Ovis aries: one gene and its partners. The protein of the gene in region 2 interacts with the protein of the main gene of each other region in a pairwise test. Links are inferred from orthologs where the notes say so. Each region holds a gene or a part of one and is shown on either strand. Other genes may lie near its edges.

The links.
Region 1: the proteins of CDR2 (region 2) and TBC1D22B interact in binary tests that used the Homo sapiens proteins (3 or more experiments, as listed by UniProt). The link is inferred for Ovis aries from reciprocal best matches to the Homo sapiens genes CDR2 and TBC1D22B.
Region 3: the proteins of CDR2 (region 2) and PKN1 interact in binary tests that used the Homo sapiens proteins (3 or more experiments, as listed by UniProt). The link is inferred for Ovis aries from reciprocal best matches to the Homo sapiens genes CDR2 and PKN1.
Region 4: the proteins of CDR2 (region 2) and TCHP interact in binary tests that used the Homo sapiens proteins (3 or more experiments, as listed by UniProt). The two-hybrid records come from large-scale screens. The link is inferred for Ovis aries from reciprocal best matches to the Homo sapiens genes CDR2 and TCHP.
Region 5: the proteins of CDR2 (region 2) and C17H4orf46 interact in binary tests that used the Homo sapiens proteins (3 or more experiments, as listed by UniProt). The two-hybrid records come from large-scale screens. The link is inferred for Ovis aries from reciprocal best matches to the Homo sapiens genes CDR2 and C4orf46.

The regions. Positions count from the first base shown.
Region 1 is NC_056073.1:11,234,473-11,239,665, reverse strand, and holds part of TBC1D22B (TBC1 domain family member 22B), read right to left. Parts: intron 3,272-5,193; coding exon 2,964-3,271; intron 585-2,963; coding exon 405-584; intron 332-404; exon of another isoform or gene 1-331. UniProt on the Homo sapiens protein: May act as a GTPase-activating protein for Rab family protein(s).
Region 2 is NC_056077.1:20,582,677-20,588,600, reverse strand, and holds the start of CDR2 (cerebellar degeneration-related protein 2), read left to right. Parts: upstream 1-2,616; 5' UTR 2,617-2,943; coding exon 2,944-3,022; intron 3,023-3,166; coding exon of another isoform or gene 3,167-3,250; exon of another isoform or gene 3,251-5,924.
Region 3 is NC_056058.1:9,645,899-9,651,827, forward strand, and holds the start of PKN1 (serine/threonine-protein kinase N1), read right to left. Parts: upstream 3,431-5,929; 5' UTR 3,417-3,430; coding exon 3,378-3,416; exon of another isoform or gene 3,268-3,377; intron 2,274-3,267; coding exon 1,970-2,273; intron 1-1,969. UniProt on the Homo sapiens protein: PKC-related serine/threonine-protein kinase involved in various processes such as regulation of the intermediate filaments of the actin cytoskeleton, cell migration, tumor cell invasion and transcription regulation.
Region 4 is NC_056070.1:63,503,393-63,509,058, forward strand, and holds the start of TCHP (trichoplein keratin filament-binding protein), read right to left. Parts: upstream 3,523-5,666; 5' UTR 3,410-3,522; intron 1,961-3,409; coding exon 1,767-1,960; exon of another isoform or gene 1,756-1,766; intron 919-1,755; coding exon 708-918; intron 1-707. UniProt on the Homo sapiens protein: Tumor suppressor which has the ability to inhibit cell growth and be pro-apoptotic during cell stress. Inhibits cell growth in bladder and prostate cancer cells by a down-regulation of HSPB1 by inhibiting its phosphorylation.
Region 5 is NC_056070.1:40,563,174-40,569,016, reverse strand, and holds the start of C17H4orf46 (renal cancer differentiation gene 1 protein), read right to left. Parts: upstream 3,525-5,843; 5' UTR 3,287-3,524; coding exon 3,104-3,286; intron 1,843-3,103; coding exon 1,687-1,842; 3' UTR 1-1,686. Other genes in the region: ETFDH (electron transfer flavoprotein-ubiquinone oxidoreductase, mitochondrial), read left to right, coding at 3,955-3,988.

The DNA of each region.
Region 1 (5,193 bases), on a different chromosome or scaffold from region 2:
GAAAAGCCCAAAACAACAGCCCTGAGCAGCCAAGGTCATAGCTCTGCAGCAGTGATCCAGTCAGCTCAGAGGTTAGAGTTAGAGGGAGGAGGAAGACCAGGAGGTGTGGATTTCAGGAGGAATCGCATGGAGGTAGAGGAGACCGAAGCCAATGGTGCACTAGGCTCTACAGGCCACGGAGTCCAGTCCCGCCTAAGTTGGCCCCTGATTTCTAGTTAACGTATGTCTGACTGTGATACCTGCGTGTCACTTCAGTGGGCACCAGATCAGGAGATGCTGGAAAAGTAAAAGAAGGAAGAATAAAGAGCAGTAGCTTCCGGGTCTCTGAGAATTCCAGTCACCGAGAGGTCTGCTTGCCCAGGGCTCACGGGGGCGGGGCGGGGCGGGGGGGTTGCGGTACTCACCCAGGTCAGTGTTGTGGCTGGAGAGAAGCTGACGGAACTTTTCCAGGCGGGTTTTCTCCCGGACGGTCATCGGGGGCGCCCCAGAAGCGTTCTGGTCTGAGATGCGGGCAACGAGCGGGATGACGGGTCGGAGAGGGAGTGACTGCTGTTTGTGGAGCGGGTTCCTCAGGCATGAGTCACCTGAGGGGTCGTTTGAAAGAGAAAGAGGACAGGCTGTGTGACGAGCACAGATCCAGAGACACTTAGACCTGACTGCTGGGCATGGGGCTCCTCCACAGCCGCGGCTGCCAGGTTGCCCAGGGCGAGGCCGCCAGCCAGTGGGTGGAAACCCAGCCGCCCTCTGTTCACTCAGGGGAAGGGCTGCGTGTTTATCATACATACCAAGGCACCTTCTGCGCAGAGACTCCAGCTACTGCAGCAAATCTGACAAATTTTTGTGACTTCAGAGGGAAAATCTATTGCTTTCTTTTTATCCCAACCTGGAACTTTTCTTGGGTGTCTAATAGCGAGTTTGGGGGTGGGGGCAATGTAGTCAAAGGCAGTATCTGCCTTTCCTTTCCTCGTCTCAGAGCATATAGAAAATGACTGCAAAAGCGCATCGCGAAAAGAAAGGTGATGGCTGCTCTCCCGCAGACCAAGGCCCCAGCTGGCTGCCCCGAGGGCTAAGAGGGCCAGTATTCCTCGCACAACTCTCACCTGTTTTTGGCTCACACATGAGAGGCTCTCTGACCTAAGGTGGGTCCTCTGTGCTTTGACATTTCTCACCAAAATGAACCGGCGTTTAGTTCTGTTGGGATATGACTGAAATAACAGGCATACGGACTCAAGCTGAACTCTATATCTGGTTCTAGACACTTCTGAACAAGATGGTAGCTAGCAGAAATGAGCAGGAGAGCGCTAACATTTACTGACTGCTTACTAAGGCACTGAGCTGGTCACAGTTACCTATGTCCTCTCACTTGACCCTTACAACATACTACAGCAGGAGTTTATCACGATTTTGAGGGAACTATAGCTCAGAGAGGTTAAGAAATTTGCAAGGGAGAGCTGAGTTATCTTGGGTCTGTCTGACGCCAAAACCCTTATTTATTTCACTCCCCCAAACAAAACTCAGTTTTAAATTCTGACCATCCTTTCATGACTGTTTTACATTCTTTACATATTTGGGCCTTAACAAGTAGTCAGCACAAGAACTAAACAGGGAATCCTTATCAACCGGCACTAGGAGGTTTACAGACTCAACGGCCACAGGGCACTTGGTCTGGATGCCTAGTGTGACATGGGGCTGAGAAAATGCAGACCACACGCTACAGAGCTGAGACTGAAGGCCGCTTCCGGTTATCAGTGACTGGCTGACCGATGCTCACAGGAGGGAACCCTGTAACAGGAGTGCTCTGGGTGGTCCTGGCTGCACAAGGGCAGCTCGTCAGGGACCATGGTGGGGCCTTCCCTCACAGCGGGACCCTCTGAAGACCCTTGGTCTCATGTGAAGATACTTTCCACAGCCAGGAGCTGTGGTCACCTGGCCAGTGGGCACTGAATGCCTGTCTGGGCACGTCACTGGGGCCCAAATCAGAGATGTGAAGTGACTGTGGAATGATTTTCCAGGCTTTACAGCCTCATTTCCGGAGCACATCCTTGTCTGAAACTGTAAAAGAAGTTCTCCGAGAACAGGAGCCAGGACACGCGCCACGGCCTGACATCCCACTTCCTTTTCACCCTTTACCACAGTCAGCTATTTTAACTCTCACTAGCATGAGGGCACTTCCCCCTCCAGCTCAGAACGACTGACTCCCATAAAATGCGTTAGGGCAACATTCGACATAGCAGTGAGAAGGCAGTGGCAGCCCACTCCAGTACTCTTGCCTGGAAAATCCCATGGACGGGGGAGCCTGGTGGGCTGCCGTCTATGGGGTGGCAAAGAGTCGGACACGACTGTAGTGACTTAGCAGCAGCAGCAGACATAGCAATGGAACTGAGGTGTCTCCAAGCATCTCATAAAACCACCATCATCTCAACCGGTTAGTGCTGCCAGTTTCCTGAAGAGAAGGTGGGCTCTCCTCCTGCCCCACCCAGACCTGGCAGGCAGGGAGCTGTGACACAGGGACTCCGCTCCTGAGGAACAGCAGAGAAACGACTTGCTGCTAGGGGCTCTTCCCCAGAACAGAGGAACGGTACCAGACATGTTTGAAATTCTGCCACTAACAACTTCAACTACATTTTGTCAGCACACTTCAACCTGACCAGGCCCAAAGAAATGTGAAGCAGCCACACCATAAGCATTCTGGACCCCAGCACAGGGAAAGGAAGGAGAGAAGGGCAGGCAACACAGGGGTGTCCAAAGTGAAGCCCAGGATCCCAGGGCCAGGCAGCCATCCAGGCAGGAGGAGCAAGCACAGCTCCTGACCAGTGAGGCCCCCTGAGGGCCCTCAGGCTCCAGCTCACTTATTTATCATCCAGTGGACAATCTAAGGGATGCCCCCCACCAGAACCTGTTTTTATTTAAAATGCGCTCTGCTGAAAAGGCAGAGCCTATGGCGGGGAGCTGGACGGACTTACTGGAATTTCTGGACAGCTGGGCGTCACTGCTGGACTTTATGACCTTGTAGCTGGCAGGTACATCGGATGTTGTTGACTGGGACCGTTCTGGTTTCACCCTCAGCTTGCTGTGGTTTTCCAGCACTTGGGCAGCAGTCGCCAAGGCAACTTTTGAGTTCAGAGTTTGGAAAGCAGGGGACGAAAAGTCCTCTTCCTCATCATCACCAATGTCCCAAGCATCACTGGTGTTCCGGGCAAACTCGTGAAAACTGGAGGCCTTCTTATTTTTCAGAGGAACTGTGCTGACTTTTGACCGTTCTTTAATGAAGCTTTAAGAAAGGAGACGCTGTTACCAAGGAACAGTCTGACATATCCAGCCACTTTCTCTTAACAGATTATCAATAGTATTACAAATTATCTCATACACAATCATTACCCTCTTCAAATAGAAAATATCCACATCCACTCCTTATCTAGAAGCGTCTAGAGCAGCACTATGCTGCAGAACCAGATGAAACAAAGAGAGCATCGCTCTCCAAATATTCCACGTGCTCCTCTGTACATCCCAGGCCCTGCACTTAGGTGAGGCTTCTGGTTCTGGCCAACGGGCTGAGGAGAGAAGTGAGGCCGTCCCTTCTGAGCCAAAGTGTAAAGAACAAGGGTGCGTTCTCCCTTTTTTTTTTTTTTTTTTTTTTTTTGCCAAACGATGTGGCATGCAGAACTCCCCCACCAAGGATCGAACCTGAGCCTCCTGCAATGGAAGTGCAGTGGGCCATCAGGAAGTCCTATGGGTGAGTTCTCCGCAAGCCTTGTTCTGCTGTGATAACTGGCGAGGCTCCAGGTGGTGGCACCTCCTTCAGCCTGGATGACAGAGCGACTAGGTGGAGCAGAGCCCGCCTTCCACAGCCACTTTACCCTCCCTTGGTCTGGAAGCATGAGTGAGAAATAAGCATCTGTTGTGTCAATCCACTGAGATTTCAGAGTTAATCTGTTACGGCAACATACCCTAAAATATTTTCTAGAGCAGGACATCGACTACTGGTAGAACAGGAGATAATTTTAGGTAGCCCACGTGTATTGTTATTAAACATTGAGGTTCAAAATGCAGAAGTTGTTCTCTTTTTGTTTTGTTGAAGTCCTGTGGCCCTTGAGGGATCCGAGTTTGACCCCACTCTATCTTTAGGATTATTTTTTAACAAAGTGAGGGCAGCCTCAGGTTCAACATTTTATAAGCAACACAATCTGGCTTAGAATTTAATTAATAAGACTGTTTAATGTTTCACTGTATTTCTAAGGTTATTTCCTATTTGGGGCAAATGATACTGGTTTTCCACTTACAGAACTAGTAAGATTTATTTTAAAAGTAAATCTAATTGAGTACATAAGTTTATTTTTTTAAGTGCATTTCATAAATAATAGTATAAAGTATTGCAAAAAAGTCATGAAGACGGTACATGACTTGAGTTTGAGAAATACTGAATTAACTTGTTGAGGAAAGAGAGCCTAGTCCCAAGAGTCAGGTAGCCGAGTCCAATTTTCCTGAACGTTTCCTCTTTTTTTTTTCGGCTGTGCCATGTGGCATGCAGGATCTTAGTTTCGCAACCAGGGACTGAACCCACACCCCCTGCAGTGGAAGCATGGAGTCTTAACCACTGAACTGCCAGGGAAGTCCCCCTGAAGTTTTCCTCTTTCTGTGAATCCCTTAAGGTCTGGTGGCCCTTATCTGGTTCCAGGGGACTATGTGGTTGGGATGTTTCTATAACTGAGTCTTATCTAACATCCTTCATACCCCAAGTAGGGAATCAAAGAATACAGCCTCATGTAAATTTACACCTGAGGACTGGAATGCAACATCATTAAAATGCCTCACCATTTCCCTCGGCAAGGCAGGGAAACTCTAGTTTAAAAACCAGGCTCCGGCAGAAGAGCTGAAGTCCCCCATTTCCAAGAGATATTCTTCCCTTTAGGTAGAGGAGTCTGGTCTAATACCTATGACACCTCCCAAGATATGTCCAACAGTCATTCTGAAAGATAACTGTTGTTAGCATTGATAAAGACAGACTGCTAACTCCCACAGCTCATCGGAATGACCCTATTACTAACACCAAAAAAGGAGTAAGATATGACAGGCATATTTTCAAACACTGGCCTCACACAGAGTAAAGGAAAACTTATCACACGAGATGCAAGAGATAACATGAGATTACACAATGTAACAGTTCAAACGTGACAGAAACGAGAAACCATTTTC
Region 2 (5,924 bases):
AGAAGGCAGGTATTTATAAACTCAGAATTTTGCAAGGAATCATAAGCTTGCTTAGCTGAGTTCAAATTTTTTTTAAAGATTTTGAGTTAAGCACCCATCTTGTCTGAAACATAAAGTTAATGTCATATATATATACACATATATATGTATATATATGGTGGATACAGGAGAAGGCAATGGCACCCCACTCCAGTACTCTTGCCTGAAAAATCCCATGGATGGAGGAGCCTGGTGGGCTGCAGTCCATGGGGTCGCTAAGAGTCGGACATGACTGAGCGACTTCACTTTCACTTTTCACTTTCATGCATTGGAGAAGGAAATGGCAACCCACTCCAGTATTCTTGCCTGGAGAATCCCAGGGATGGGGGACCCTCGTGGGCTGCCGTCTATAGGGTTGCACAGAGTCGGACACGACTGAAGTGACTTAACAGCAGCAGCAGCATGGTAGATACAAAGTTTTGATAACATTATAAAAAATTCCATAGCCTGAACTTCTGTTTATGACAAAAAAAAGTAAAAATCTTTCTTATTTCCATCTGCAGAAAGAACTATTGATATTTTGCTTTAGATTATTTTCATTATAATAAACACTTATTTCAGTAGGTATCAAACTGAAAACCACCACTTACAATGGCTTTAAAGTCAACACTACTTAAAACTCTGACTTGACTTTACTATAGCAACAAAACACCAAAGAACATGAATAGTAAGTGTATCTTTATAAGCAGGAACAAAGGATTTCTGAACCTGGTTCTTCTTTAATACAAAATGCTTTATATAGAAGAGTTTAAAAGTAGCAAAATGGTGTAATGATTAGGCTGGGAACATGCACTAAATACTGGTGAATTATTAAATGAAAACCCAAAACCCTTCTTTCAGAATCAACTTGGGTTGTTATTGTTAACCTATTGCTAAACCAAATAATAATGTTGCTGAAGAGGCTGCTTATGATTGCTTCTCAGCTATGACTACATGGACTCTAAATAATGATGGAGACCCCTTGAAAGCAGGGAGTTTAGCACTGAAAGCTAACTTGTCTTTCTCAGTGCAATTTTTGTTCAAGCTTTTCTGGGGCAGGGGCGGAGGGTGGAGAAGTTCCCCCAGTGTTCTTAAAAAGAACGCACTAATACCAAAAGGCATAAAGTCTGGTGTGTTGGGTTTTGTGTGGACTTAAAAATCATCAATAACTTTGATTCTTCAGATCGTTCTTTTTTGTTGTTGTTTTTTGAAGAATGCTAAAGAACATTTCAATACAGTTTCCCGTTTGATTTGGAGTCAAAATAAGCTTTTGCCATGGGGAAAGTGTTAGCACTTTCAGTTACTAGTGACTATGAAAGATGAGTTTCTTGAAGGTCAGAGGCATGATTCTGGCTCTTCAGCTTCAACAAATCATCATCAGCAAATCCTAAATCCAATCATCTCTCTTTCCAAAGAGCTCTATCTGTAGTGACTTGTAAATTAAGATAGTTTTAGTTATTTTCTTTTGGCTGTGGACTAATAATACCTCTACCAGAATAAGGGCAGTTAGGGCAGAATAGTCAACCTAGTTTCTTTCTTAACCTAACAATAAAAATAGATCAGTAACATTTTACTTTTTAGTGTCCCTGGATTTAGAAGAAATGTGAGTTTACCATTCCTCTTTTATCACCTCTGAAACGACTGTTCCTTCTAAGATTACTGGCTGGAATTCCACAATAGCTGTCTTCTGTCAGCTGTACCTTCACCATTACATCAAGGCTAAGAACACTGACTTTCTGATCTGTCACCTTATTTTAGAATTTTTATGTTTTGTCTGCACGAGGATGGTAAAAGCCACAACCTACGAGCAGTATTTATTTTGTTGTATGCAGAGAACAGCTTTCACTATCCTACTGGCCATCAAGGGCTAGGGCTGCAATCTCCTCTCTCCAGGTGGAACATCATGACTCCAGATGCTTAACAGGTGATCTCTCTTTTTTAAAAAAGTATGCAAAAACGCTTGCAAATTTTTTCTCAGAAGTCGCTTCAACTGCACCTTCAGGTGGGTCTGAGGCCCACCGTTTCAGGGGCAGTACAAATTCTCAGCGATTTGGAGGTGAGGGCTCAGATATCAAGAAGAAAACAGTTAACTGCCCTGAACTTCCGATCGATCCTCGATTTCCCGGCATCAAGCAGAGCAAATCTGGGAGTCAGAAGACCAGCAGGGGTCGGCGGGGCAGCGGACCTCAGGGTCCCGGCACGCCTCGCGCCTCCCGCCCTCCCGCAACCGTCCGCTGCTCGTAGACCGTACTTCTGATTCTCACGCCCACTTAGCCCGTCCACCGGCCATGCAGCCGGCCACCCACCACAGGGGAAGCGAAGGCCACTACCTCCTCACCCCAGCGCGCCGAATGCACGGCCAGAAGCGTTTCGAAGGGAGAAGAGGGCGGGACCCTCGGCCGCACCCCTTGTCCTTTTCCCGCCTTCTTTGTTTCCTTAGGAGTCACCATTGGCTGCCTGCCTCTGATACCGGGCGAACCGCGGGCCTGCGGCGAGACGCGATTGGACGAAGTCGCCGCCGCTCGGCCGGCGGCCTGCTCGCGATTGGCCGAGGGGCCGCCGGGGGTTTGAATCGCAGCCCCGGTCGGGGAGGGTTCTGCCAAAGTGCCACGTTGGGCCCGGCTGCGGCGTGAGGAGCCGGCTCGGAGAGCCGACTCAGGAGCTCGCGCCGGGGTGCCGGCCGTTGGGGCGGTTGGGCGGCGCGAGGGAAGCCAGTCCGCGGCGTGCGCTGCGGGCCGCCCCGCGGCGGCGCCGGCGGCGGCTGTGGGCGGCTGTGGTCAGGCGTCGCGGTGGAGCCTGGGCGGCGGCGCGTCCCGCCCGAGGGCGGCTCTGGCTGAGGGCGGAGGGGCCGGGGGAGAGCCCGGGGCAGCGGCTGAGGCGGGCCGGCGGCGGCGGGGGCCGCTGCCCCCAGAAGAGCCGGCCGAGATGCTGGCGGAAAACCTGGTGGAGGAGTTTGAGATGAAGGAGGACGAGCCGTGGTACGACCACCAGGACCTCCAGCAAGGTGAGGGTGCGGTCGCCAGGCGGGGCCTGGCCAGGGCAGGGCGGCTGCCGGCTCGAGGCTTCACCTCCTGGCCGCGAAACTGTTAAAAAGTTTATTTTGCTCGGGGCCCACCGACGCCAGGATCGGGGAAGATCTGGCGCTCACCTGGCGTTGGGACTGTCGCGTCTGCTGGTCCTGCGCGGGAGGACTCCGCTGCGCGGGCCCGGGCTCCTGCACGGTAATCAGCATCCCCCATCGTCCCCGCCACTACTGCGTGTCAGGAGCTGACCGGGCGCCAGGCAGCGTTTGGAGCTCTCTCTGGGGATTAACTCATTTAATCCCCAAGGTGTTCCTCGGAGCGGAGAGGGGTGGCCCCTTACCGGGCTGTCCGCGTCGGGGAGGAACCACAGCCGGTGCTCATAGCCGGCGAGTGAGCTGCTGCAGGTGGTGGACCCGGGGTGGCAGTGCCGTGTGGCAGGAATCGCGCACATATTTGATCCGCACAGTAACTCCGTTGAGAGAGTAACTCATATTATTCCCCTTTTCCAAATGGGTAACGCGGATGCTAAAGCGGCCAAGTGACTTCCCTCAAATGTGGAAGCAAGTCTTTTTTTTTTTTTTTTTTTTTGACTGATTTTGTTGGAATTTAGTTGATTTACAATACTGTGTTAGTTTCTGCCATAGGGCAAAGTATTTTTGAATCCGCACACTCAGAATGAGGAGTCGTCCTAGTCGCTGCTCAAACCCCTATCTCTTCTTCGCCACCTGGCTTACAGCTCTTACAGTTGGTGTCAGACGGGCTGAGAGGGGGGCTACATAGGCGTAGTTTACCAGATGCCAAGTAAGTGAATGACTTGAGGGCACTTGTGCCTCACCTGCTTCCTTCACTTTGCTCCCTAGCTTTTTCACAAGAGGCATTCCTATCTTGGCCTGTCCTGGATTTCTTGTCTCCTGAGAAATGTTTTTCAGGCATCTTCTGTTCCAGCAATTCTGCGTAAATCAACTTTTTCATCTCTCAACTGGCATAAAAAGTTACCATCTCATTTAGTTGAACATTAAATGACCATGGTGTTTGTTCATGCTAACCATTGAACTTAGCCGGAGGGGAAGAATGTAGGCTCGAAAGACTCAGAAAAGAAACATAAGGAACTCTTTTGGGGGAAGGTGATTTCTTAAATCAATATATTGTGGCTGGTAGCTTAAATCAAAGTTTATATAGCCTTTATATAAGTCAAAGTTTATGCTTACATAGTCTAACCTATTCAGTGGCTGTACTGCAGTATTTGCCATCATATTCACAGCATACACAAGGCAAATTTGTCTTATGTTTTAACCTGTTTTCAGAATGCCTCAGAGGGATTGATGGCCTAGTTTGATACTTTCTCCAGAATTTATGAGGCAACCATTTTGCAATTGCAACCTTTCCCTATAAAGAAATGAAGCAGTTTGCCCTATAATCATAACTAAATAGTTTTCTTTATTGTTTTTAGAAAGTGTAGCTCTGTACAGTTTTTTTTTTTTAATCTATCTAGCACAATACTTAGCACATAATAGAAACTCAATTTTACCATTTGTTGACCTGAACTGAGGCACTCACACAGGATTATTGTTTTCATGTCTCTCTTCCACCAGGCACGTTAGTCTACGCTGCAGTTTCCCCTGTGGGAGGTTGTTAGGAACAACCACTTGTAATATTTCAACTTACTGAGGAGCAAATGCAACATATAGAGGTTAGACGTGGAACTCTCTAACCTCTGATTGAAATCAGTCATCAGGTGTGCAGATGTAATGAAATCTTGAAGCGCACAGGTCCAAACTTCCTGTGCCAGTTTCCGTTTGGAATTTGGTCTGTTCTTTTCAGAGGACTTTTACATTTGTTATCACCATGGACTTTGACATAACCCTGTGTGTCATAACCAAGTGTGTGGGGTAGGAATAGATGTGAAATTCCAACAGTCACAACTGTGAATTTGGCCTGTGAAAGAATGAAGGCTTCAGTGTGAATAGAAGGGTCTCTTTGTCCCACTCTCATTACATTATATGTTAACTCCTAAACTTCTAATGGATCGTTTGTTAATTTTTCAAAAATTGTATTTATTCTGTGCCAGGTGTTCATTGAGGCATTAGGACTACAGTGCCTGTCCACAGGACAGACAGGATCCTACTCATTTACTAGGAATCTGTTGACTGGAGGTGCTGCCTTCTGGTGTGCCCACTACAGTGCTTGGCAGTGGGTGGGCCCTCGCCCTCCCTAGATAATTTTGCTGCTGTGTAAGGTTTGGGAGCAAGTCTGTCCTCTTGGGCTGATAAGCAGATCTAGTGGGATTTTATCAGGTGCAGACACATGTCTGTTCATTTTTTAACATCCTCACTATTAATTTCACTGAGAGCCTTACTTGAAGAGAGTTGCTAAAACAGTTTTCTGAGATCCTGTGCTCAGTCATAGAACTACAATTTTTTTTTCTTTAGCAATAGAAGCATTACTTAAGTAGATTGAATCTCTTTACCAAAGTTTGCTTGGGGCATTCTTTGTAAAAATTAAAATTGTTGAAAGTTTCTAACCTCAGAAGGCTGTGGTCTACCATTCATACCTTGTTAGAAACGTGAAACTGTGCAGGCAGAAGAAGAAAACCCGTTGCTTTTATAAAACACTTTCAAGAGAGTGTCTTTTGTCAGAGGGCTGAGTTGACAAAGTAAGAATACTGACTGTGATCTCTGTGAGTAAGATCCTTTCTGGGACAGCAGGAGCCTTCTCTGTAGGTAATGATGGTGCTTGCTTTGAAATGTGCCCCTGAGAACAAGGTGGAAAGACTTCAGAGACTGGGTTTTCTTTTAGACCAGCTGCCGTTGTAATTGTCGTTTGGCGAGCTGTGCAAGCTTAGAGTAAGGATTCAGGTTTCTACTGTATAGATCAGCAAATGAA
Region 3 (5,929 bases), on a different chromosome or scaffold from region 2:
GACGGCAGCCCACCAGGCTCCTCCGTCCCTGGGATTCTCCAGGCAAGAACACTGGAGTGGGTTGCCATTGCCTTCTCCAAGGCATGAAAGTGAAAAGTGAAAGTGAAGTCGCTCAGTCGTGTCCGACTCTTAGCGACCTCATGGACTGCAGCCTACCAGGCTCCTCCATCCATAGGATTTTCCAGGCAAGAGTACTGGAGTGGGGTGCCATTGCCTTCTCCGTCTGATAGTGTTAGCCTCCAGCTATTGACACACCAAAGAGGTGTGTGGGTGTTGGGCTAAGTGATGCTGAGTCTCAGGTCTTGTCCAGTTGACTGTGTTAAGTATCAGGCTGTTTATGGGTTGGTAAACTCCTGTGGCAGCGGCTCTGTGTGTCTGAATCTCTGGGTGTTGCTGTGAGCGTGTGTGAGTCCTCAGGTTTTGTGTGTGTGTTGGTGTGATTGCGTATGCATTTATCTGGGCACTGGCTGGCAGTATGGACGTCTCTGGGTATTCACAGAATAATGCTGCTACTGTTTAGTCACTCAGTCACGTCCGACTGTTTAGCAACCCATGGAGCGTAGACGGCCAGGCTCCTCTGTCCATGAGATTTCCCAGGCCAAGAATACTGGAGCGGGTTGCCATTCCCTTCTCTGGGGGATCTTCTCGACCCAGGGATCGAACCCACATCTCCTGCACTGCAGGCAGATTCTGTACCGCTGAGCCACAGGGTGGGCCCTCAGAGTAGTCTGGGTGCTGGCGTGACTGTGTGTGAGGGTCTCTGGCTACTGATGTGATGTGTGTTACATCTTTTAGTTGTAAGATGAAAAAGTTCTGCAGATTCCTTGCACAAAAATGTGAAAATACTCAACACCACTGAGCTGTATGCTTAAAAATGATACGTTTTCTGTAATGTGTTTTTTTCCAAAACGTTTTATTTTATATTGGAATATAGGTGATTAAGGGACTTCCCTGGTGGCTCAGTGGTAAAGAATCTGCCTGTTAAGCAGGAGATGCAGGTTCAATCCCTGGGTTGGGAAGATACCCTGGAGAAAGAAATGGCAACCTACTCCAGTCTTCTTGCTGAAAAATCCCATGGACAGAGGGGCCTAGCAGGCTGCAGTCCATGGGGTCACAAACATGGGGTCTAAACGGAAGCAGTAACAACAGCCAACTAACAACGCTGTTATACTCTCAGGTGTTGTGTTTTTTTAATCACAATTAAAAAAATTTTTTAATCAGTTGGAGCCTATAGGTGTTGTCTAGGTGTGGGTGTGATTGTGACTGTGACTGTGGATATTTGTGTGATACCGTGTAAACCCTTTGGTGTTGTCCAGGTGTGGGTGTGACTGTGACTCTGGATATTGGTGTGATACCGTGTAAGCCCTTTGGTGTTGTCCAGATGTGGGTGTGACTGTGACTCTGGATATTGGTGTGATACCGTGTAAGCCCTTTGGTGTTGTCCGGGTGTGGGTGTGACTGTGAGTCTGGATATTGGTGTGATACCGTGTAAGCCTTTGGTGTTGCCCAGCTGTGGGTGTGACTGTGTGTACCTTTCCCTGAGTGTTGGTTTGGGCCTTTTGTCTGCCTGTATTGGGGCCTCCCAGGTGGCACTACTGGTAAAGAATCCGCCTGCCAATGCAGCAGACGCAAGAGATGCAGGTTCAGTCCTGGGTCGTGAAGATGCCCTGGCGAAGGAAATGGCAATCCACTCCAGTATTCTTGCCTGGGGAATTCCACTGGACAGAGGAGCCTGGCGGGCCACAGTCCGCAGGGTCACACAGAGTTGGACACGACTGAGCACTTGTCAGCAGTGATAGCAGCCACCTGCATTTTCAGGTTGGAAGCTGCCGTGACCGAGTGTGTCTCCCTGGGAGGCAGTGGCAATGGGCTGGCCGGCCGCACCCTGGGACACAGTGGGTGAGCCCTGGGCAGTGGAGGCCCCCAGTCCCGCATCCCCCACCCCCCAGCCCAGGGAAGCCTGGCTTACCGTGCACGCCCACCGCGGGGTCGGGCAGCACCACGTGGGCATGCAGCTCCTGCAGCTGCTGGTGCAGCAGGTCAAGCCTGCGTGAGGAGCCGCGCAGCACCAGCTCCACGGGACCGAGGTTACGGCCCAGGTCAGTGGTGGCTCGCCGCAGGTTCTCTGCACCCTCCTTCAGCTTCAGCTCCTTACGGATCTCCCGCCGCAGACGCTCCCGCTCCAGCTCCAGCTGCTGCTGTACCCCAGGGGCTGCCAGGTCGGCACCTGCCAGGCCCAGCTGCTCCAGCAGGGACCAGCTGCGTGGCTCACTCTGCGGGGGACGGAGCAGGGTCAGTGGGGCCAGAGCGGCTCTGGCAGTGCAGACCACATTCAGCTGACCTGGCCCGGCCTCCTCCTGGGGGGGGACTACTGACACAGGCCCTGCTCCATGTCCTCCGACAGTCCCCCAAAACTGGGAGGTGAGACAAGGCCCTGTGCCTGCTTCCTGACACCTCCAAACTGTGAGGTCCCAAGGGCAGGGCCTTCTCCTTGCCTGTCACCTCAGACAAGAGGACCACAGGTACACTTCAGTCTTCCCTCACTGTCCTCATGCAGTGGGATCCTGCAGGGCAGATTCCATTGCCCCATCACTGGGTCCCCACAGCTCGGGGTCCCCAAGGTCAGGCCCTAGCTCTCCTTCCACTGTCCTCCCAAATTAGGGGGGCCCAAGAACAGGCTTTGTCTCCCTCTGTTGCCCCCAAATGACCAGGTCCTGAGGGGAGACCCCCTCTCCCCTCTGCTGCCCCCCTAAACTAGGAGGTCCCAAAGGCAGGCCCCATCTCTGCTCCCTTATGCCCCACGTTAGGAGGGCCTGAGGGCAGCTTTCATCTTCCTTCTGCTGCTCCCCAAATGAGGAAGTATCAAGGGCAGGCCTGTGATGCCCCCCAGACCACAAGGTTGGGGTTCCAAGAGCAAGTTCCTTCTCCTCTTGGCTGTACCCTTGAACTAGGAGGACCTAGGGACAGGCCTCATCTATTCCCTGCTGTAACCCCAAACTAGGAGGACCCAGGGCCAGGCCTTGTCTATTCCCTGCGGTAACCCCAAACCAGGAGGGCCTGGAGACAGGTTTTGTCTGTTCCCTGCTGTACCCCCTAACTTGGAGATCCGGGGGCCAAGCGCCATCTCCCCTCCTTTTGTCATCTACAACTGGGACCCCAAAGAAAAGAGCACTGTTCCCTTCCTCCTCTATCCCCCCAACCTGGAAGCTCAAAGGGCCCCAAACAGTTTCATCTTTCAAACAGAAAACTCCAAAGCCAGCATCCCACCTCCTCTCCTCAGTCCAAAACCAAGCGGTACCGAGGGCAGGGCCCCTCCGGCCTGTGCCACTTGGGGTCCTCTTCTGCTGCCCCTCCCCCACAAGGACCCCAGCCCCCACCTCCAGCTCCGGGTCCAAAGGGGGATCAGCCTCCGCCATCCTGGGCCCCGGCTGAGGGCCCCGCCCTCTTCCTGAACCTCAGCCCTGCCAGGGCCTCTCGCCTGCTACTTCCTCTTTCCTGCTGGCTCCCAGCAACCCCTGCGAAGGCCAGCTCTGGGGCTCTGGGGCATCAAGAGCACCTTCCTCTCAGCCCCCACTCGAGGGCTGAGCCTGCTTCTCTGGGGTCATCCCAGGGGTGGCCCCTCTGCTCCCTGTCCTGAGGATGCCCAAGGTGTACGCAGCAGGCACACACACACGGGCCCGCTAGTGTGGACATGAAGAACAGCCTTCCCCACATATAGCTTCCCTACAACACACTTATACACCTACAGGCATCACAGGCTGGCCAGTGTGTGCCCACCCCCCACCCCCTGTATATACTTATATACACCAACACCCACAAGTGCTTACATGGGCGGGCCAGCCCCTTTCCTGTCCCAACTTCCGGCTTCTTCTCAGCTTGGTTGCCTGCTGCTGCTGACCACAGCTTGGAGGCCTGGGGGCCCGGCCGGCCCTGCGGTACCTCCCTGAGGCCCACATCATGAGGAGACAGCTCTGCAGGGCTGGAGTACCAGTGTCTCCACTTAAGCTCAAGTATGATTAAGAACCATGGAGGTTACTACAAGCTGCACACCAGGTCAACTAACGCCATTCCAGGAGGTGCTACTATCACTCCGTTTTCCAGATGAGGAAACCGAGGCCTGGGGCGGTGACCTAACTTGCCCAAAGCCTCATAGCCAGCAGGAGACAGAACTAAGATTTCCAACAAGAGTGCCCAGAATCAGAGCTAGTTGTCAGCCAGGCAGGAAGAGCCCCGCATATATTATCTGCCGCCACGGTGAGACCCCATTTCAGAGATGAGGAAAGTCAGGGTTCACTCTCGATCAACTTCAAGGGCAGCTGCCCCCAGAGAAGATTTACTTCAGGCCTAAAGTGTCACTCCCATGATCCTACTGACCCCTCAATTTTATCCTGAGCAGCTGCCATATTTCCCCTCCTACTTTACAGGTGAGGAGACTGAGCCTCAGAGGGATGGCAGCAGCAGTTCTCAATGGCGGAGGGGATTGCCAACACTCCCACCTCACTTCTGGGGGCAGCTGGCAATATCCAGAGCCATTCTGGGTTGGTTGTCATAACTGGGGCTGCTACTAGGCTCTATGGGGTTGAGTTCATGGAAACTGCTTGACATTCCACTGTAAACACGAGAGCCTCCACCTCCAAGAATGATTCAGCCCCAAATGTCAATAGTGCTGAGCTTTAGAAACCCTGGATTAAAGGACACAGACTCACACCCTGAGCTGCTGGCCATGACCACTGGTAAGGATTTCACAGCAGCCCTACCTGCAAGGGGCTGACCTGGTCTACGTCCTTCCTCACCGTGAAAACTCTCTTGGCTACATTTTTTTTTTTTTTTCAATTTTGACGGCAGAAACCAAGGCTCAAAGAGGGAATGGCGCTGGGCCTAGGACACACTGTGACGAAGTGGCAGCTCTGGAATTTACACCCAGGGTCACCTCCTACCACCTGCTATCAACCAGGTCCCACCGGCCACCCAGCCCCACCCTGTCCCCAGCAGGCAGAGCAGCGGTGCAGCCAGGAGCGGGGCCAGCTTGAATGAGGGGAGTCCGGGTTTGGGGGGAGGAGCAGAATCCCTCAGCCCCACCTCCTCCAGCAGCTGAGGGATGAGAATATGCAAAGGAGGGAGAGAGGGAGGCTGGGCCTCCCGGGTTCTCCTTCCTTGGATGACTCACTCCTATCCAGGGCAGGGGTCACCTGAGGGCCAACGAGATGAACCCATGAATCAGGAGCCTGGCCTGGCCTTGGGGAATCCCCAACACCCTCCAAGAAGCAGAAAACACCTCCCCTGCCCCAGGTCCAGAGGGTCCACTTCTCAGAAATTCCCTCTTCCTAGAGTGACCAGGGATCTAGACCCCATGTCCGGAGATTTCAATGCATTGGGCGTTTCTGGAATCCGGACAGGACATCCGTTTGCCGGACACAGAACAGACAGGCACACACACTGGGACAGACAGAGGGACAGGGGTAGCAGACCCAAGCAGCCACGAGAGAGAGAGGAATGACTAGGACGGGGTGAGGGTGGTGGTGGGGTGGGGTAGGGGGAAGAGAGCAGGCAGGAGACGGGAAAGGGGACCAGGGCGCAGGTCCAGCCTCGGTCCAGGAATCACAGTCTCCGTCCAGGCCATGTCTGCTACATGCCAAACGCATGCATGTGCCAGCGGAGTCCTACACTGTCCTCCCAGGGCTGATGGGGTAGAGGCAGGGACCCAGGCCCTCCCCAGCCCCCAAGGTCTGACCTTGTGTGATCGGCAACACCAGATACGCCCAGCTCCTCGGCAAGGCTGGCAGGCCATCAGCAGGACTGGGGCGGGGGACAGGGGGTCACGGGGGAGACACAAAGGGGATGTGGGGGCAGGTGCAGAAGGAGATGAGAACCCAGTTACACAGCAACCACAGGACGATGGAGAGCTGATGAGGCACTGTGGGGGCACCGG
Region 4 (5,666 bases), on a different chromosome or scaffold from region 2:
AGGGGAGACTGACATCGCTCTTCCAATCCATCCATGTTTCAGGTAACCCACAGTGAAGTCAGGTGAGCCTAAGAGCTCCTCCACTGGCAGCCAGCACCGCACCTGCCCTTCAGGCTTCCCTCGGGCCTCAGGAGGTGTCTGGCTCTCAACAGACACCAATCAGGTGCTGATAAATGACTCATTTCTTTGGCTACGCCAAACGACTTGTGGGATCTTAGTTCCGTGATCAGGGATTGAACCTGGGCACTCAGCAGTGAGCGTGGAGTCTTAACCACTGGACCACCAGGGAGTTCCCACAAATGACTCTTATAATGGTGATAAAAAGGGGCCAAAATCTGATGCTACAAATGGGTCCTAGATGCTAAAGATCTACTTCAAAATATACAGCAGGCTTAAAAACACAGCTTAGAGACCACCACTACACAGGACTACTTTGGAAGTTAAGTTAAAATACACCAGTCCCAGCCTTTCATGGGACCAGAGAACTAGAATAAAGAAAAGGGACTCAGATATAATGATTTAAGGGGCCCAAGAGAATAAAGATGACTCCTGGAAAATACACACGAACAACGACTCAGAGTCAGCACTTTTCTCAGCTGGCTCTGTAGTGAACTGCCATCTCGGCCCCTGAGGGAGACGCCTCGTGGCCTCACCGACAGGCCGGGGACTCGGGCTTCGCACCCTGCTGAAGAGCTACGCGGAGTTACCAGCTTCCTTTGCTCCTCTCGGGCCGCCTTCAGGTTCCCGTGCTGCTCCCGGATTCTCCCTTCCCTCAGGTTCATGCTCAGCCTCAGCTCCTCCAGTTGTCTGGCCAGCAAGTCCTGCTCCTCCACCAGAAGCTGCCTGAGTCTCTGCCGTCGGGCCTCCAGACGCTTCCTGCCCTCCTCCTTCATCTTCTCCCGCTGGTAAGCATGCATGCTGGGCGAGAGGGGCCACCATCAGCCTGGATGCTTCCAGCTGCACAGGGGCTACATGGCTGGCTGTGTGGGTGACAGGCTGAGACACATGGAACATGGTGACCTGGGAAGGCGTCCTCCAGCCAAAGTGAACAGGCCAGGTAATAGAACCACTATGCATAATAGAATCTTGTTCTTGCAAGGAAATGTACAAGAGGCGTATCTATGCACATGGTAATATTATCTGAGTAGTTACCATGTACTACATAACCTGGATGGTTTTTATAGTAGTCATGACATAAATCCTATAAATTAGGTTCTGTTTTAGCCCCACTTCACTGATGAGGAAACTGAGGCTCATTCATACAGCAAGTGACACAGTCAGAATTGCTATCTAGGTCTGTCCGACTCCAAAGCCCATAGTCAGAATTGCTATCTAGGTCTGTGTGACTTCAAAGCCCATGCTTTTAACTTCCGTGTTTTCGTATGTATCTCTCTCTATAAAAATGGGTGTATGCTTGTATCTATATTTACACACAAAAACAGATGAAGAAGTGTACGGGAGGTTACGGACCAGACAGTTCACGGTGGTTCTCTCCTGGGGAAATGGGGCTACCGGGGGACTTCCGGATTCTACATACACGTCTCATCATCTTATCTTTTTCAGTCAAATGTGTTACTTCACTGCTGACCTTCTTTTCAGTTTCCAGTTGGAAAGACATCGCCATGCGAGTATCCACGGAAATCATCACATTTCCATGCAAGTATCCACGCCGGCCAGCCACCCTCCCCCAGGTCCTTGAGTCAGTCACATCTCCCGGCAGTAGGTGGCCCTCCAGCCCTAAGGGAAGGTGCTCACCGCACAGTTACCTCCGCTGGTAGGAGGCCCTGGAGCTCCACTCTGCCTGTTTGGAGCTGCGGATGTCGGACATCTGGAAGTAGCGGCTGTTCTGGTCCCACTGCTGCCGAAGATGCGCCTCCTGCTCCTGGCGGCGCTGTCGGGCGGCCTGCTGATCTGGGAGCCGCCGGCTGCACCAGGAGGAGGGCAGCGTGGGGAGTGCCATCTGAGGAGAACAGCAGCGCTAAGAACAGGAGCCTGCTGCAGCTCCTCACCCCTTTGAGGCCCGGTCCTCACCCTGGGCTGCACACTGGGATCTCCTGGTAGAGCCTGGGCCCCAAGGCAGACCAATTAAGTAAAAAAAAAAAAATCTCAGTGCAGGCTCCCAGGCACCAGCATTTTAAAAATGACTTGCTACCAGGACCCCAAATCATCTAGCTGAAGAAGCCTGGACTGCACCCAGCTGTGAGCCTGACATCAGTAAGGGCAGTGCAGAGACAGGGAGCCAGTGCTGACGACACTGGACTGGCACACGGAGGGTTTCTGCGCTCTGCCTAAGGTAACAGAGAGGATAACTGCAGGCATGCGGATGTGGGCCAAGCCCTTGACTTATATGACCTTTTTCATTGTTACTAGCACCCTGCTGTTTTTGGCAGCTGAGGAAACTGAAGTTCAAAGAGGTAAAATGACTTGAAGATCACAAAGCCAGGAAGCAGAGGAAATTTAAACAGGAGCTGGGAGCCTAATTCATGTTAGCCTGGGATGAGGGCCCAAGCTCTGTAGACTGCAAGATGGTACTTGTTGGGACCAACATGCCCTGGCTGTGAAGTGAAATGAAAGTCGCTTGCTGAAATCAAAGTCCTGTCCCACTCTTTGCAACCCCATGGACTGTAGCCCACGAGGCTCCTCTGTCCATAGTATTCTCCAGGCAAGGATATTGGAGTGGGTTGCTATCTCCAGGTGTCACACCTGGTAATGTTCTGGATGAGCATGGAGGGAGATCCCTCCTTCTTACAGATGGAGAAACTACCACCCAGAGGGAAGAATCAATTTGCACGGGTCAAGGGGGCGATCTGGGGACACGGGCGGAGACTCGAAAGCAGAACCAGTCTCTCCGGACATCTCCCCCCAACCACTCCCGGTCCAAAAGCTGCCCCAGGTGCAGGGTCTACACAGTGCCTGGCTGTGACAGTGCTCAAGGAGCTTCTGGCAAATAAACAAACTCAGAGTCCTCCGAACCGGGAGGAAAATGATCTGCGTCTATGAGTCAAGCTTAGCCTGAGACTGCCAGGTCAAATCTGTCTTCAGACTGTGGCAGGCCTGACAGACATTTTTCTTTGCCCCATAGGCCGCCTGCGGATAAATCTTTGCACGAGGATTGAGGAAAGTGAAGATTCCGGCCCCAGATGAACCATCAACAACAAGCTGGGAGGCTCTCTGAACAAGTCGCATCCCTCTCTCAGCCACATACAACAAAAGAGATTACAGAGGAAAGGGTCGGACCCAGGCCGCGCGGGGAGCCGAGTGAGGACTGGAAGCCGAAGCCCCGGGCGCCCCGCGATCGCGTCCCGGGACGGCGGGCGCGCTTCCCGCCAGCGCGGAGCCGACTGCGGCAGAGCTCTGAGGGTCCAGACCCCAACGCCGGCCCCCGACCGAGCCCAAACCCCCGACTCACGTTTCTCTGCGCGCCGGAGTTTCCCAAGACTGCCCCGGCCCAAGGTCCCGCAAGCCCCAAATAATCCCTGCCCGGGCCACGGCGACCCTCTCCGACAGCGCTGCACTTACGCCGGCCGTTTCCCCGCTCGTTGCCGAGGCAACGGGCCGGCGATGGAGCGCCGCGAGGGCCAAGCCTCCTGCAGCGCGATTACTCGGCGCGCAGAGCAAGAAAAGAAGTCTGTGTTTTTCTCCGATGCCCCCTCGTGGTGGGCGGGAGCTCAATCGCAGACATCGCTTGTCTAAGGAAAAGAATCCATTCACTACACCAAATTCAGGATGATGGCTACCTGAGGGAGGCAGGTGAGCGTCGGGGAAAATCAGAGGGATATAATAGGGAAGGGAATTATAAGCCAGTCACCCTCAAACCTGGCTGCACAAGAGAATCATCTGGAGAGCTCTGAAAAATCCAGATGTCCAAACCGGACTCCAGACAAACCCCATCGAGCACTCTGTGGTTGTCTAAGCCCCTCAGGTGTGTTCAAGGTGTAGCCAGCTCGAAGAACCGCTGATATAAGTAGGTTCGAGCTATTGGCAACTTTCTATTGTTTTAGGATGGTGGTGGGTTCAAGGGTGTTCCTTCTGTTAGTATGTTTTATAACTCACATGCTACGTGTATCATTCTATGTACCAACTATTCTCTTAAAAAATGAAATTAAAAGATTGGAAATTCCCCGGCAGTCCAATGGTTAAGACAGCCCACTGTCACTGCCGAGAGCCTGGGTTCAATCCCTGATTGGGGAGCTAAGATCCCACAAGCTCTGCAGTGTGACAAAAATAAATGAAAAGCAAAAGTATTAACTCTTTTATTCAGGCTCTTTTCATTTTCCCATTTTTGTCTTCATTTATTCTTTCCTTCACCCTTTCCTCCTTTTTTTATTTAAATTTTATTTATTTAGCTGCCTGGGGTCTTAGTCGCGGGCACTCCCATCTTCTAGTTGTAGCTTGTAGGGTTAGGTGCTCTGCCACATGTGGGAACCTAGTTCCCCAACCAGGGATCAAACTTGGGTCCTCTACATTGCAAGCTGGACTCTTAACCACCAGACCACCAGGGAAGGCCCGCCCGCCCGCTTCCTTCTTTTATTCAATTCTCTGTTTTCCCTGGATGCAGTATAAAGTCTGGTTGAACAGAGTGACCTCTGTTGCAGCCTCCACCACAACAGTCGTGTGGTCTGGACAGGTCACTTCGTCACTCTGAGCCTCCGTGTCCTCATCCGTGAAATAAGAATGTTCAAGTAATTGAAAAAGGAGCCCATTAGACTGGGAAGGCTGTGACACCTCCGTAGCCGATGCAGGTCAACCTAAACCTAGGCCAGAGCCAAAGCACCCAAATTGGAGAAAATGAAATTTAGCACTCACAAACAGCCAACTGGGCTTTCCCAAACAAGGCAACCTCTTAAGTTACAGCCAATCAAACGATTTCCTTGCTTTCACATCTTCTTTCTAAAAACCTCTCCTAGATCCTGCCGGTAGAGTGTTCTGAACACCTTTCTTTTGCCTGATTCCGATCAGCAAGTCTTGAAAGTTTTACTGTGCCTCAGATTAGCTTTAAATAAGAATACCGACAGGGCTGCTTTCTACAGTTGCCCTCATGAGAGGAAATGAAAGTTTAAATGGAGCGGCCTCGGGAGCAGAGCACCTGGTGCATCTCAGGAGAGCATGCGCTCGCATACCTCCCCCCCTTTTTTTTCTAGTTTTTTGGCAGCATGCAGGACATGCAGGATCTGAGTTCCCTGACAAGGGATTGCACTGCCCCCCTCTGTAGTGGAAGCACAGAGTCTTTACCACTGGACCACCAGGGAAGTCCCTCTCACATCTCCCTCAGAACCTGCCCTGCCCTGTGCGTGAGATCCTCTGGAGTTAGCCTGTGATTGGTCCCAACCCCTTGGGCCAAGCTCACGGCCAGTCACCCATCCTGTGTCCACAGCGGAGAAGGGAAGCAGCCACCCACTCTCCTCAGCCCAGCCAGAGCCATCCACATAGCAAAAGAGCCTGATTAAAATAAATAGTTGTTGATAGGCCTTCTTGAGTGTGATAGGAACTTCAGAAATGCGTGAATTGTGCTGTGGGAGACGAGCCTTCAGGTCCTGGTTTTGCAGCTCTTGGCAAGGGCCTTCCACTCTCTGGGCCTTAGTTGCCTCATCTGTATAATGGCCTTAAAGGACCAAACAAGCTCAACTGCTGGGATCAAGGGCCTAGGGCTTGACTGACCTTGTCCT
Region 5 (5,843 bases), on a different chromosome or scaffold from region 2:
AGTGTTTTGGTAACACATGTGTGCGTTAAAAACATAAAAACACAAACTAGAATATGCAATCCCTCTAGGACAGAGGTTATCTCCGGGGAGAAAGGGATGGAATCAAAAGGTAATAAAATAAGTTTCAAATGAATCTAACACTTACATATTAATATATTCATAGATCTAAAGAAAACATAACCAAATGCTAACATTTATTAAATCTGCATGGTGGAAATACATGGGTGTTCTTTAAGTGATTCACCTTTCCTCTTAGGTTTGAAATATTTCAGTAAAGTTTTAAAATAAGGAACCTGAAGAAATGAAAATAACATTTGCTTTGAACAAGCTTATTTTTATAGATTTTAAAAATTGCAATTTTCATGACACCAAAGAAAAATATTTTTCTAACATCAAAATAAGCATCTCTTTGGTATAGCAACACACCACAAGTGTTATCTTTAACATAAAAAATTAATCAAGAACTATGACTTAATATGCTAAATAAAACTATCCTTTGCCCATCCATGTGTCCCCTTTCACAGGCCCATTGTGGGGCTTGGAAGTGTTGTTCTGTGCATACCTCCACAGCTACAAGAATTAAGACACTGCATCAGATATGTCCAGAAGTCACACAACAGAGAATTAGTTGGCTTAATCACCGACACATATGACACAAACTCACCAAAAGAGAGCGCGTGTGCACAACATATGAGACAAGTAAAACAGAGCATTGTCATGAAGATCAAATAATATGAAAACAATTACATCATTTAAATTTGATGCATTTTTTTAAAGTACTTGTTTGGAATTATTACACTCAGAATTTAAAATTATTACCTGCCAAGCTCCAAAAGTAATACTACAAAGCCATAATTTTGATAAGGCACTTTAAGGAGAACAATTAAACATACAAAACAGTGAATATAAGAAATATCCATAAAAGCAGTTAACCTCAGAAATAGAGGGGAAAAAAATACGTATTTTTTCAAGACAGGCTTCAGTAAAAGTTTTTTTGAAAAGCATCACAGAGGGGTGAAAAATATTTATCATGTGTTTTTAAAAGTTATCAAAGTTCAAATTCCTGTTAAAAAAAAGAAAGATAACATTTTCCTTAAAGTCAGTGAAGTTCTGACTCAAATACTTTTTCAAGAAACAATTAACATCTTTACGCTAAAGTTAAAAGAAAAAGCAGCTTTTAATTATGCTGTCAACTCTTATTTAACAAACATTTAGTGACTGTTGTGTAACAGTGTTTTAGGTTGCTGGAAATATGTAAGCAACTAAGACACAATCATTGGTTCTAGGGAACTTAGCCCAGTGGAGCTAAATCTAACATTGGTAACATGAAAGTTTACTTTCTTTGGGCCATAAATAAAGCTCAATTTCAAATTCTGCTCTTCTTGGCATCTTCTTGCAAATAGAAGAGCATAATGGTTCACCTCGTTTGCTACTGGCAACACTGTGGCATTATTACCTACTGATTAACTTTCATAAAAGAGTCTTTGAAAGTTCAGAGAACAGAAAGTGTTTAAAGATAAAAAAATATGAATCAGCCTCAAAAATAACATCAGCATTCTGTTTTCACAAAATGAAGAAAACCAAGAAAATTTTCATCTTTAAGTATCCAGAACCGTGCGATCATCCAGTCTCCATGGTACATGCGCAAACATCATAGATGAGGAGGTATGCATTATTACAGTCAAGTCAGTCATCAGGCTTCAAGGAATCATAGCCTTCTTTCAAGAGGTCCCGCCATGTTTTAAGGAAACGTGCATTTTCTGTACATTTGAAGGCAAGCTCTTCCACTTGAGCTGATACTGCAGATGTGGCTTCCAGAAGTTTGGTTAATGAAAATGCTGCCTGAAAATTAAAAAAAAAAAAAAAAAAGTAAAACTATATGTTTATTTTTAAAATTCTCTCCCTATTTTATGAACCTGGCTGAAAATAGCTTAGAATCCAATGCCCAAGTTCTTTTCTTTAAAAAGTTAAAAATCTTCAAACTACGACATGCCAGCTCTTTAGTGGAACCTAAAAAAATTGTCTACATTAAGTAAGCTTTGAGGACATCTGTCTACTAGAAAGATATACATTATGTATGAGACATGACCAGTCAGCATCTTTTTCGGGTGATAATACACTAGTCTCATTTAGCTCAACAAGACGACTTGAGCCCGTTGACACCAAGAAGTATTTGAAGGACTTATGATACAGCTCTTACTGATGGGAGGGAGCGACTTGCTCCGCTATTTTCATCTGTTTAACACTGCAGACCATGAAACCGTATGAACCAAAGAACAGACACTCTGAGCTCACAATTAACACCAACAAAAACAACACCCATGCAGAAAACACTGCAACCTTGGTGGAAAACTCATTTCTTGATCAAATGCTTTCTTCACCCACCGTATAAAATAACACTGTTCCTGGGTAACAAACATATCAGCACTGCATTCTACACGCTCATTTGGAACAGCCTGGTTCAGCAAAGATGAAGCTGTGTCAGCATTTCAGCCATCTTTTTAAAACAACAAATACTTGCTGAGGAATGAGAGAATAAAGGAGTTCACCCCGCGGTTTGCAACCTGCACAGGAGGATCTCCCGGTTAAGACGACACCCTACAGACTTCATTCACTTGACCTTAAATCGAGAAACCCGACTGTGTAGCTGGGTGGCTGTGAGTGTACGCGCGCGTCTACTAACTGGAGACTCAACAGAAGCCGTCCAGACCAGGAATCCCGGCCATCAGAGGGACGGGTCTTTGTATTGTTAGGGGTAGCAATCTGGACCACGGGGCGGGGACTAACCCATCCTAACTGGGTCCGCTCAGAATAATCATCGCCTACCCAGCAGGCTCTGGGCAGGCGGCCAACTAAACAGGGCGAGGGGGAGGGAGACGGATCAAGTCCCAGCAGAGGAATCCCTGTCTGGCCCTCAGCCCCGCAGACGAGGCAGGGCGGTGGGTTTGTGAACTGCGCCGTTTCGGGTTACACCGCGAGAGCGGAACCAGACCTCCAGGCACAAAGACCCCGCGCGGGCGCGGCGGGAGAGGGATGCCCTGGACTCCCGACGCGGCTCTTGAATACGTGCGGGACACGGCCCGGACCCGCCGGCCGCACTCACGTCTCCGATCTGCAGCTCCACCTCTTCCAGCGGGTCCACCAGTCGGCCGCTGCTCCTGCTCGGAACAGGCCAGCCCAAACCCCCTGGGGCGCCGGGGGAAGATGCTGAAGACGTGTCTGGAGAAGAAGGAGAAGAAGGGGGCGGCGGCGGCGGGGAAACCTGCAGCCCTTCAGGGTTCGCCATGGAGCGCGGCTGGGCGACTGGACCGGACTTGGGAGGCCGAACCAATACCAACCGTCTTTCAACCGCTCGCGCCCAAAGCCCAGCGGGCCCGCCTCCTCTCGGCTCTCCGCCGGGGACCGCGAAGCCGTGTCACTTTCTCGGGACAGCCAATCAGATGCCAATGAGTTCGCCTGAGGCTACTCTCCGCTCCGGGGGAAAACCTCCCAACGGGTTCCCAGACGCCGGAACAGAAGACCACAGCTCCCAAGGTGCCGTGCGCGCCGCTACGCCTCACAGTCTTGGGGCTCTGCGCGCGATTCATCCTGGGATTTGTGGTCCCCCCGCCCCCCACTCCCCAACCATTCCGGCGCTCTCAGCGCACGCCGGGTGAGAGGCCGTGCAGCCTGCAGCCGCGGGCGGCGCTGGGACTTTGAGTCCCTTCCCGTGCCCCTTCGGTCCGTGACCCGGAAACGCTGCGGGCGTCGCGTCGCGTCACTCGGGGCGCCCGCGCATAGCAAGACAGGCGGGAGCGTGGTGAAGCTGGAGCGTTCCGCGGAGCAGGCAGGTGGTGACTGCTTGCGTCTCGGCCGGCGATGGCGCCCCCAGTGGTTTAGAGGTCCCGCGCCCGTACGAGCCAAGCCCAACCTCCTCCCCGGCGTCGGCCAGCGTCCTGTCTGTCTGCTGTGAACATGCAGGTGCTGCTGGCCAGATTGGCCTGCCCGGGTGAGCGGGGTCTGCGGGCGCGGGTTGACAGAGCAAGGTCGCGGGGCAGTCCGGGCTCGCCTCGCTAGGGAAGAACTCGGGCAAGGGCGCGCGATCAGCGCCAGGTGGATCCTGGTTTCCTCCCCGGGCTTGTCCCTGTTGAAAAAGTTGACAACTAGGGCAGAGGTCACGGGCGGAGGAAACTTGTCAACGCGGCTCCCGAGCGGAATCTTCCCCGAACCCTGGTGCTGACCCTCCTCCCAAAGCCCAGATGTTGTCCTAGACTTGCAACAGCCTTGTTGGAAAATGGGTAAATTAGCTATTACACAGATTTTCTCCTTGGTCCTCTCCTGACTTGCGTCTTGCAGCCGTCCTACTCCTTTCTTAAGAATTTGAACTCTGTTCTGTCACGTTGACATTTATATGGTACCCAAGTCATCAGGTTATCTCTGGAGCCGGGAATTTTTCTGTGTTGTCTAAAATTGACTCTACAGCGTATCGTGTTATGGTTGCCCTAAAACCATCATGATGATTTGGTAAAATACCTCATTACCTCCCCTTTCACCTTAGAAAAAAAGTAGAATGATGTCATTGGACGGTTTTTGTTTGTTTTCCTTAAAAACAGTTAAAAAAAAGTTTACTCCAAGATATCTCTCAAGACTGACTTAATTTTTTCTGTAGTTTATTTAAATTTTGGTTCTAGAATAAACAAGTGTACATATTGCAAATTCACGGGTATTGTGTAAATTTCAAAAAAGTAGAATTTTGTCAGATTTGTCCACCATGTATTAAATAATTGGAATTTAAAGTTTCTGTTATGGTGCATGTTTTATGACACCTAATGTGTAAATACTGTTGACTGAAAAAAAATGCACAACCTAAAAGGTTGAGGATTGTGTTTTACTCAGCAGGCACAGGGAGCGCTTAGGAGACAGCCTCTTAAGATAGCTCTGAGGGACAGCTCTGTAGAAGCCAGGATATATAGGAGTTTTTGCAAAAAAACAAACAAGCTGAAACACACAAAATAGGTAGTTGGAACATCAAAAGATTACTGCTAATTAAAAAAATATATCTCAAGTTAATGAATTTAGTGCTTTTCTGTGTATGGGAAGATGTAAGAGTTTGGGCTCATTGAAATCATTCCTTTGATACGCATCTCCACTATCTATCTATCAGTGTCCTGCGTTTCTCCATCCTGAATGCCTTCAGAGTACACAGTCAGGGACGGCTGCAGTAGCTGAGAGCCTGATGGCCACAACATCCTTTGTTTACTGATACAGCAGGTGATATTCTTTGTCCACAGTGCCTCCTCTAAGTCATAAATTTGACCAACATTTGGGAGTCATTTCATGACCAGTTTTTGTCCCTTGGTGCTAGGAAGGTTCATTCCTAGATCAGGCAAAGATTATGTTGATAGGCCACCCAATGTGTTATTTTTGGATCAGGCCCTGTTGATAATCTAAAATTCTCTGGAGTGCCTGTCTCACTAGTTTATTATGATCCAGGAGATGTTTTCCCATGTCGTTTATTCCCATGTCTGAAGTTGCACTGTTACAATTATTCTGTGTAGAGTTAATCTGTATGTAAATTGTCTTAAGACATTAATTTTGTTGGAGGCCTGGTTAAACATTGGATGATGCCAAAGGAAATTTTATGAAATAGAAAGGATATAAGTAATTCAGCTAATAACATTAATAAGGTCATAGTGCAGCAGAGAGAGGGACAAGTTATAAGTCATTTGAATCCAACAAGAGGGCAAATTAAAACAATGATCAGTATAACTAGTTGTAGTCTGGTTGAAATAAGCTATCCAATCCACAGGAGAACCAGCTGAACAAGCCAGATTTTGGAGGGATCACGTAAAGAGAAAGATAAT